2 linked regions of the Neurospora crassa OR74A genome follow. The protein of the gene in region 2 interacts with the protein of the main gene of each other region in a biochemical or structural test. Links are inferred from orthologs where the notes say so. Each region holds a gene or a part of one and is shown on either strand. Other genes may lie near its edges.

Region 1 (3,602 bases), on a different chromosome or scaffold from region 2:
TTGTCAACACCCCTTCAGGCGAAATCTCAAATACCCAGTGCGTGGTTCTGAAAGCTATGATCCAGAACTACGAGGAGAAGTTTATCCATGCATATGGAACCGCTGCCCTTGCGGCGTTGAGGACCGCGCTCGTAGAGTTCCCTGCTCGGGCACCGGTCAAGTCGAGTGCCGTGAACTCGTTGCAGGTTGTCCATGATCTGCTCAGGAAGAGTACTGGAGCTGCTCTTGGATAAATAAAGTGGTCGTGTGTGTCAGAGGAATGGGGTTGGTGTGTTGTGTGTCAGAAAGAAAAGTCATATCAACGGCGTTCAGGATTTGGTCATTTGAGGTTTTCAGCATCTTGGAAGGATAACGTCTGCCATGTGCCGGTTACGAAAAGTTAGTGTTCTATCAGAAGAAACTGAAAGGCCGGGCTTCCCAGCGTATTTGGCGCTTTCTGTTATATACCCAGCGTATCTACAATCAAGGCGGCGAAGCTCGTAGTGGGCATACAGAAACAAAAACCTACCACATCAGCACTCAGAGAAAGAAAGCCCTGTAAAGGGTGCAGAACTGAGCCTTTGTATGGCTCCAAACTCAATGTTGCTGACCGATGCCCGTTTTCACCTGGACCATGGCGGCAACAACTCGTGGCTGCAGTGATCCAGTAGGTCATTATTGTATTACCGTATGACCGTCCATCATAATGCTGTAGGCGGTAAAGCAAAATAAGTAACAGGAGAGCCAAACATCATAGACACCCCTTCAGAACTCCTCTTAACCGGCAGAACCCAAAAAGAAAACAGCCCGCCTAGTCTAGTCAGCCAAAACACAGCCCCAATCCTGCCGTCCAGCTCCCAGCTTACAAAATGAGCAATAAAACCAACAACAAAATCAATACGAAGATCAAGACCGCAATGCAACAACTGCTCAGCGTGTCCTCGTTGTGCCTCATCACATATGTCAACTTCTGCATCCCCGTCTGCAACCTCCCTCCCACGCGGTCCGCCAAATCGTCCGCCACCTCCAGCATCTCCCTCTGCTCCTCCAACTCACGGCCCATGTCGTCCGCCTGCCGCCTCAGCACGCCGACCGTCTGGAATACCCCATCCAAATGCTGATCCTGCTCGCGCATCATCTGTATCTGCTGCTGGTGCTCGAATTCGGCTGCGTAATCGTCGTCTTCGCCGGTGGCGCCAGCGGCACCGTTTTCACCGTCCGGGATGGCGAAAGATGATGGGTCTGGTAATTGGTCCTTTTGCTGGGTACCCTTTCCAGAGACGGCGGATTTGGATGCGAGCTCCTGCCGCATGTTCTCTACCTCGGACCCGACATCTTGCACAAGGCGCTTGCGCCGCGTGACTTCGTGCGCCGACAGGCCATATTGCGTGGGGTCGCGCTCGATGGCCTTGACGGACTCGACGAGGTCGGCGAGGTCTTCGGCGAGGGAGGAGAGGGCGGATTCGAGGTCGGAGCGGGCCGCGATCAGCTCAGGAGAGTCGGTGGAAGAGGAGGAGGAAGAGGTGAAGAGGGAGCGGATGCGTAGGTAGGAGGTGAAGAGGGAGCGGGTGGATTGGAGTTGGGTTAGGACGTCCCTGTGTTTGAAGTTTTGGTTAGCTGTCAATGTTTTGGGTTGATTGTGGTTTGTGAGTTGGGAAAAAAAGGGGGAGATGGTCAGAGCATACTGTTGGACCTCAAGGAAGGGGTCCTCCTCGTTCGTGGAGGACATCATCGCGCTACTGCGAAGACGAGGAGGAGTAAAGCTGCGGCATCAGTTGTCGGTCGCATCAATCGACATGCGCCGGCCTTATTAGTCCCAAGTTGAAGGAAGTGGAGATTCACTGCATAGAGGTAAAGAGATTGAGGAAGTGGTGGTATATGCAGTGATCTATTGTGTTTGATTAAAATAAAGACCAAAGTATAATGACGTTGCGGCCGGCAGGGTTCACGATCTCGACAACTGCCTCGAGGTACTGTAGTAGCGGCGCTATGCATACAAGCGCGGCGCTCCAGATTGACACCCCCCTTTGTGGCTGAGGGTGAGTCTAGAAAGTACATGTGGTTCTGGACCCGCCGTCGGCTTGGCGTGAGACATCCATCCCATGGACCTCTTCGGCTGCCCCGCTTCTGCAGCGGTGCAGCTCCCGCTCCCTCGTCTCAGGGCAATCGCGCAGTCGCTGTGAACGAACCCCAACGATTCCATCAATCCCCGTCTTGTCTGAACACCTTGACTGCTGCCCCTGTTGTTTTGAGGGGAAAATGCGAGGCCCTTGATCTAAAGAACTGGTTGGACGACGCGCGCTGTCGGTCCGGTTGTCAGTGCACTGGTTCCAGGTTCCCCAGTCGCGGGGACGGGCAGTGCCTGGAGGGCAGCTCGCCCGATTTGGTAGGTGAAACGTAGCTTCAACGGAGCCGGGGACCACTGTAACCGAAGAGAATCATAGTGTCTCATCAACTGTCCTTTTCCTTCTCTCTTTCCTCCTCCTCCTCTTCCATCTTCTTTTCCACCAATTCTTTGACTTGGGTCAGGTCATTGTCTTTTTCCATCTCAACCCAAAAACTATCGTGAACCGTCAAGATGTTCAGCTTGCGGCGACTCCTCCTCGCCGCCACGCTGTTCCTCGGCGCGATGCTGCTCTTTGCGCAGTCCGCCGAGGCAGCCAAGGGCCCCAAGATCACCCACAAGGTCTACTTCGACATTGAGCAGGGCGACAAGCCCCTCGGCCGCATCGTTATGGGTCTCTATGGCAAGACCGTCCCCAAGACCGCTGAAAACTTCCGCGCTCTTGCCACTGGCGAGAAGGGCTTCGGTTATGAGGGCTCTACCTTCCACCGTGTTATCAAGCAGTTCATGATCCAGGGTGGTGACTTCACCAAGGGCGATGGCACCGGTGGCAAGTCCAGTATGTTGCTTCCAAGTTCCGTTATGCACTTTGGTCCATATCATTGACCGCTTGTGTACAGTCTATGGTGACAAGTTCCCCGATGAGAACTTCAAGCTCAAGCACTCCAAGAAGGGTCTCCTCTCAATGGCCAACGCTGGCAAGGATACCAACGGCTCCCAGTTCTTCATTACCACTGTCATCACCTCGTAAGTCGAATACACTCGAGCCGCATGGTCTAGGAAGTGCCCGGTTGGCTAATACACATTTTGTCGCAGTTGGCTCGATGGCAAGCACGTCGTCTTCGGCGAGGTCCTCGAGGGCTACGATGTCGTCGAGAAGATTGAGAACACCAAGACCGGTCCTCGCGATGCTCCTGCTGAGCCTATCAAGATCGCCAAGAGTGGCGAGCTTGAGGTTCCCCCTGAAGGTATCCATGTGGAGCTTTAAAAAGCGTCTTCTATCCATCCTTGCGAATCCCCATTTCCCCACCGTTAACTGTTCATAAACCTGTGTGGGAAAAGTCATATAAAAGAGGAAAGGATATAGAAGCAAAACTTTTTGGATCCTCATACCTACAATGGTGTCCAATTGTGGATCGTTTTGTTCCTATGACCGTTTACCCGTGTATATGAGTCCATGTGCTGATGAGTCGGTGTTTTTTCTCATCAGGCCTGGAAGGCCAGTCGGAATGGGCATCTCCCGCGTACGCAAACGAAGACGAGAAGCCTGCTGCTCCTG
Region 2 (3,881 bases):
CGACGACGACGACTCCATACCTACATACCTAAGGAACTCCCCTCGCCAAAAGTCAAGTCCGCTCCGTAAGCGGTTTTGGTGTTTCTGTCTTGTGACTCCATCTTGAAGTGAAGAATTGCAGGTGAAAATGGAGACGAGTGGAAGGCTGCCGGGGAGAGACCGGCGATCTCCATCCAGCTGCAGCTTGAGCTGCGGAACATCAGTCCGGTGGACTTCTTTTTTTTCACCGCCTAAAGTTCAACTGGAGCTGTGGAAGGTCTGAGGGTCCGTTATGTACTGCGTATCTGTGAAAGTGGGGTTATATGCAAATGTTAACAACAACGAAAGTATCTCGAAGAAGATGACTTGACGTGATTTGCAGTGATGCGTGTTTCCATCACATGGAAAATTTCTTAGTCTACTCATTTGTAATAGGCCTGTAGTGTACATGAGTTACCAAGACACAGTTCTTGCTGGGATATACACAGTACACCACGGTTCTTCAGGGTGGCAAAGAAGCTTAATTTGGGCACAAGAAATAGCGACTTTGTCGAAGGCTCGCTCTCTGTTTCTTGTAGAACTACCAAGCTACCAAGTCACATCCCAGCAGAGGTGTGGTGAACGCAAATCATTCAAACAACAGTGGCCAACAGAAAATTTGTTTTAACCAAGGCCCCGGTCAACACCGACCAAAGTCAGGGATACTATGTCTCAGAGGAGAATCATTTGAAATCATAGAGAACGATCCGCTACCCATGTGGCGGCGAGTTGTGGTGGACATGGCGAGCCGTTTTCCCCTGTCGGATGTCGGAACGTCCATGGAAGCAAGGCCGCCGTATGGTCATGAGAAAGAAATACGTCTAAATTTCGAAACCACCTCCCTTTGTGACGCCGTCTGTGTAAAAATACAACCCCCCGTACGATACCATCCCTACGATACGAAAAACATGGAACTGGAACATGTCTCTGTTATAACAAACGCTCCATCGGTACAGTCCAAACCATCCACCACCTGTTCGTATATATCGTGATGTCACTGAACACCCCTGCCTGTTCTACCTGATGTTGTATTGCTTCTTTATGGATTCGCTCAGCTCTCTCGACACAATCACCTGAACTTGCTAACGATAACCGCAATGATAAGGAGGACCAGCACGGTGATGATCGCAATGGTGATTATCCGATTCGTAGCCATCCTAATGGTAAAGGCGCAAGTGGTCAGTATTACCTAATCATCATGATTCGCATTGGGACAAAAGGGGAGGGTGGTACCTGCGTGCCATGCCCTTTAGTGTCTTGACACTTCGGTCCACATAGCCTTCACTCTCGTATAGTATCGTGGTGGTGTGCTCAATGACTTCGCGTTGGCGGTGCAGGTCGGCCAGGGTGCTGGCGCCAATAGCCTCTGTCTCGGCGGCCAGCGCCTGACTGGCCTTGAGGCGTTGTGTGCTCCGATCGAGCCGGTCGGTGCCTTTTACGTTTCGGGGGAAATAGTCAGCATTCCGTTTCTTCTTGCCATGTATAAGGTGCTTCTGTCCACCACCCACCAGATAGCAGCTGCTGCCTCTGCTCAAAATGCCTATCGCCACTCGAAGAGCCCGGGTTATCGGTGTATCTGCCGCCGAACAGGGCGCTGCGGTCCGTCGCCAGCGTCTGCAGCTTGCGACGATACTTGTCCACGTCGCTTCGGTAGTCGCGCAGTCGCTTGTTGATGGCGGTCCGCGACGAGCTGGGCACGTTCTGCTTCTCCATGTTCATCTGGTCCAGCAGCTCGCCGGCCTCCTCCAGGGCGCGCTCGGCCGTGCTGAGGGCGGCTTTCCTGGGCTCGCCCGTCAGCTCCGAGATTTGGTCGAGCTTCTGGACCAGGTCGGCCTGGACCAGCTGGTATTCCGTCTCATAATGCTTGAAGAGCTCTGTGCCGGCTTCGCTGTCGAGAATGTTGGCCATCTTGGATTCAATGGAGTTATGTGTTGCTATCGGATGTGGAGGTTGGGGTTCGGGGCAGGTGTGGGGGTGCTGTCGTCGGGCTGGCCGTATCGGGGTGATGCTCGTTTATCGGCGGGTATCGTTATTCTCAATTATTCAGATTCGTCATTAATCATGCCAAAGAGGGGCGTCGTTGATGCGGTCGCGTTGGACGAGATGTGGTTGGGCTGGCGTGTGGTTGGTCTGATCGCAAGGAGTAGTGGTCGTCGTCGAATGTTGTCTGTCGCCAGCGACACCAGTGTGCTTCGAGCCCCGTTAGTCGTTGCGGTCGTCTCAGCAGCCTGACAAGCGAACTGAAAGGCAGGCAGGCCGCAGGCGGGAGACGACAGCAGCTGTGGGCACGGACCAGCATGGGCACATGACATTCCGCTTGTTACATACAGTTACAGTGGTTACAGTTGCAGCCTAGGCGGGTGACGTACACATGCTTGGCGTTGCCGCATGTATTGCAGTGTTGTTGCAGTACGTGTACGCAAGCGCTGTATGTATTGTTTGCAAAGTGTAACTTACACGGACCGTGTCCAGTTGAACGTATCAACCCCGCCTGGGACTGCCGGGGACTTTGGCGTCTTGAAACTCTTCAATTGGTTTCTTTGTATGACTGAGTTGACCTTTCACCAGCCAGCAACGAATTGAGACCGATGACGACCTAGGGAAGGGAACTGTTTTGGGGGACATATCGCTTAGAAGGTCCAGTCAACGGCCACGTCCCAAGACATGCTAAGATAATATAGTGTACACTGCCTAGACACTGTCACGGCTGCTTGACGCGAACCTTGGCTGGTTTCCCCAGAAAATGGACACATTGCCAGCCTTTTGTTTCTGGTTGGTGTCTTGAATTTTCCAAGTCTTTTTTGGGTTTGTAGTCTGTCGCCACCGATGCTTTGGGAAAATGTTCTCCTGGCAGTCGGGTCGGATTGGTCGGCAATGTTGTTTTGCGGCGCAAATAGTAGGTAGCTGCTCGACATTGCCACGAGATTTGCACCTTCTGTTAAATCATATATATGTCAGCTATGACATTCGGATTTCGTCGCCGACATCAAAACACCAGGACTGCTCATGGCCATCTGGTCCGGCCTCGTGGCACACACTTACTTACACACATACACGCACTCATACACTCTCTCTGTTGCTCGTCGTCCAGCAACACCAGGCTTCAGCCCAGCGATACCGACCCGTCTGACTAAACCTCCACCACAAAACATCCATCACCAACGGACAAATCAGCGACCCCGGTCACAATTCGAGAATTCGCTGCGAGGTTCTTCATTCGAAGGTTTGTCAGGCTGATCCACTCTCGGCACGCCATAGGATTCGCTGGAATACATCATCGCTTGGCTAGTGGAGAGTGTTGGCGACATTCACCAGGATCGAGTTACGTACCGCCGCCGCCGCCGCCGAAGGAAAAAGCCCACGCCAACGTCCGACGGTTTTGACACATCGGCGGCCGATTTCAGCGACTCACCGTTGCCGGCGTCCACCGTCATCCACCATCGGCACCGAATTGGCCCCATCTTTTTTAATTTGGCCAGGCTAGCTCAGGGCTTGGCCAGTCCCCTGCCCGCTTACCTTTACCAGGATCTAGCAGGATCTGCCGTGCGCTTCCGCCGTCGCTTTTTTTCTTCTTTGGGCGCCGCGGGTGTCGTGACCGGCCACTGGCACAGCAACACCACCGTTTCCAAACCTCTTGGAGCTCCTCGCAGCTCGGCCACGGCTTGGACCCCGTCAGTCAGAGGGGTGAGGCCAAGACACGGTGACAGTCGGACGCCAATTGGTCATCCACTTTGTTGGTGCTCCCTCCCCTGCCACTCCGAGTCTGCCCAGGTCCCCCTTGATTTGTTTGGTTTCTCTCTTGACATCCTTCCACACACCACAACAACGTCCGAGGCTTTGCTTCTCTTCGGGCTCCTCAAGAA

The links.
Region 1: the proteins of NCU05959 (region 2) and NCU01199 form a complex in vitro, tested with the Saccharomyces cerevisiae proteins (3 studies listed by BioGRID). The link is inferred for Neurospora crassa OR74A from reciprocal best matches to the Saccharomyces cerevisiae genes VTI1 and TLG1.

Annotation. Positions count from the first base shown.
Region 1 is NC_026505.1:3,218,340-3,221,941, forward strand, and holds NCU01199 (SNARE domain-containing protein), read right to left. Parts: upstream 1,927-3,602; 5' UTR 1,712-1,926; coding exon 1,665-1,711; intron 1,575-1,664; coding exon 842-1,574; 3' UTR 546-841; downstream 1-545. Other genes in the region: gle-1 protein, read left to right, coding at 1-233; NCU01200 (peptidyl-prolyl cis-trans isomerase B), read left to right, coding at 2,558-2,882, 2,944-3,070, 3,140-3,291, 3,534-3,602.
Region 2 is NC_026506.1:3,311,260-3,315,140, forward strand, and holds NCU05959 (vesicle transport V-SNARE protein VTI1), read right to left. Parts: upstream 2,244-3,881; 5' UTR 1,927-2,243; coding exon 1,527-1,926; intron 1,451-1,526; coding exon 1,252-1,450; intron 1,176-1,251; coding exon 1,088-1,175; 3' UTR 678-1,087; downstream 1-677. UniProt on the Saccharomyces cerevisiae protein: t-SNARE found in various SNARE complexes involved in multiple transport pathways. The composition of the t-SNARE complexes is specific for a limited number of v-SNAREs and therefore allows only the vesicles carrying the matching v-SNARE to fuse.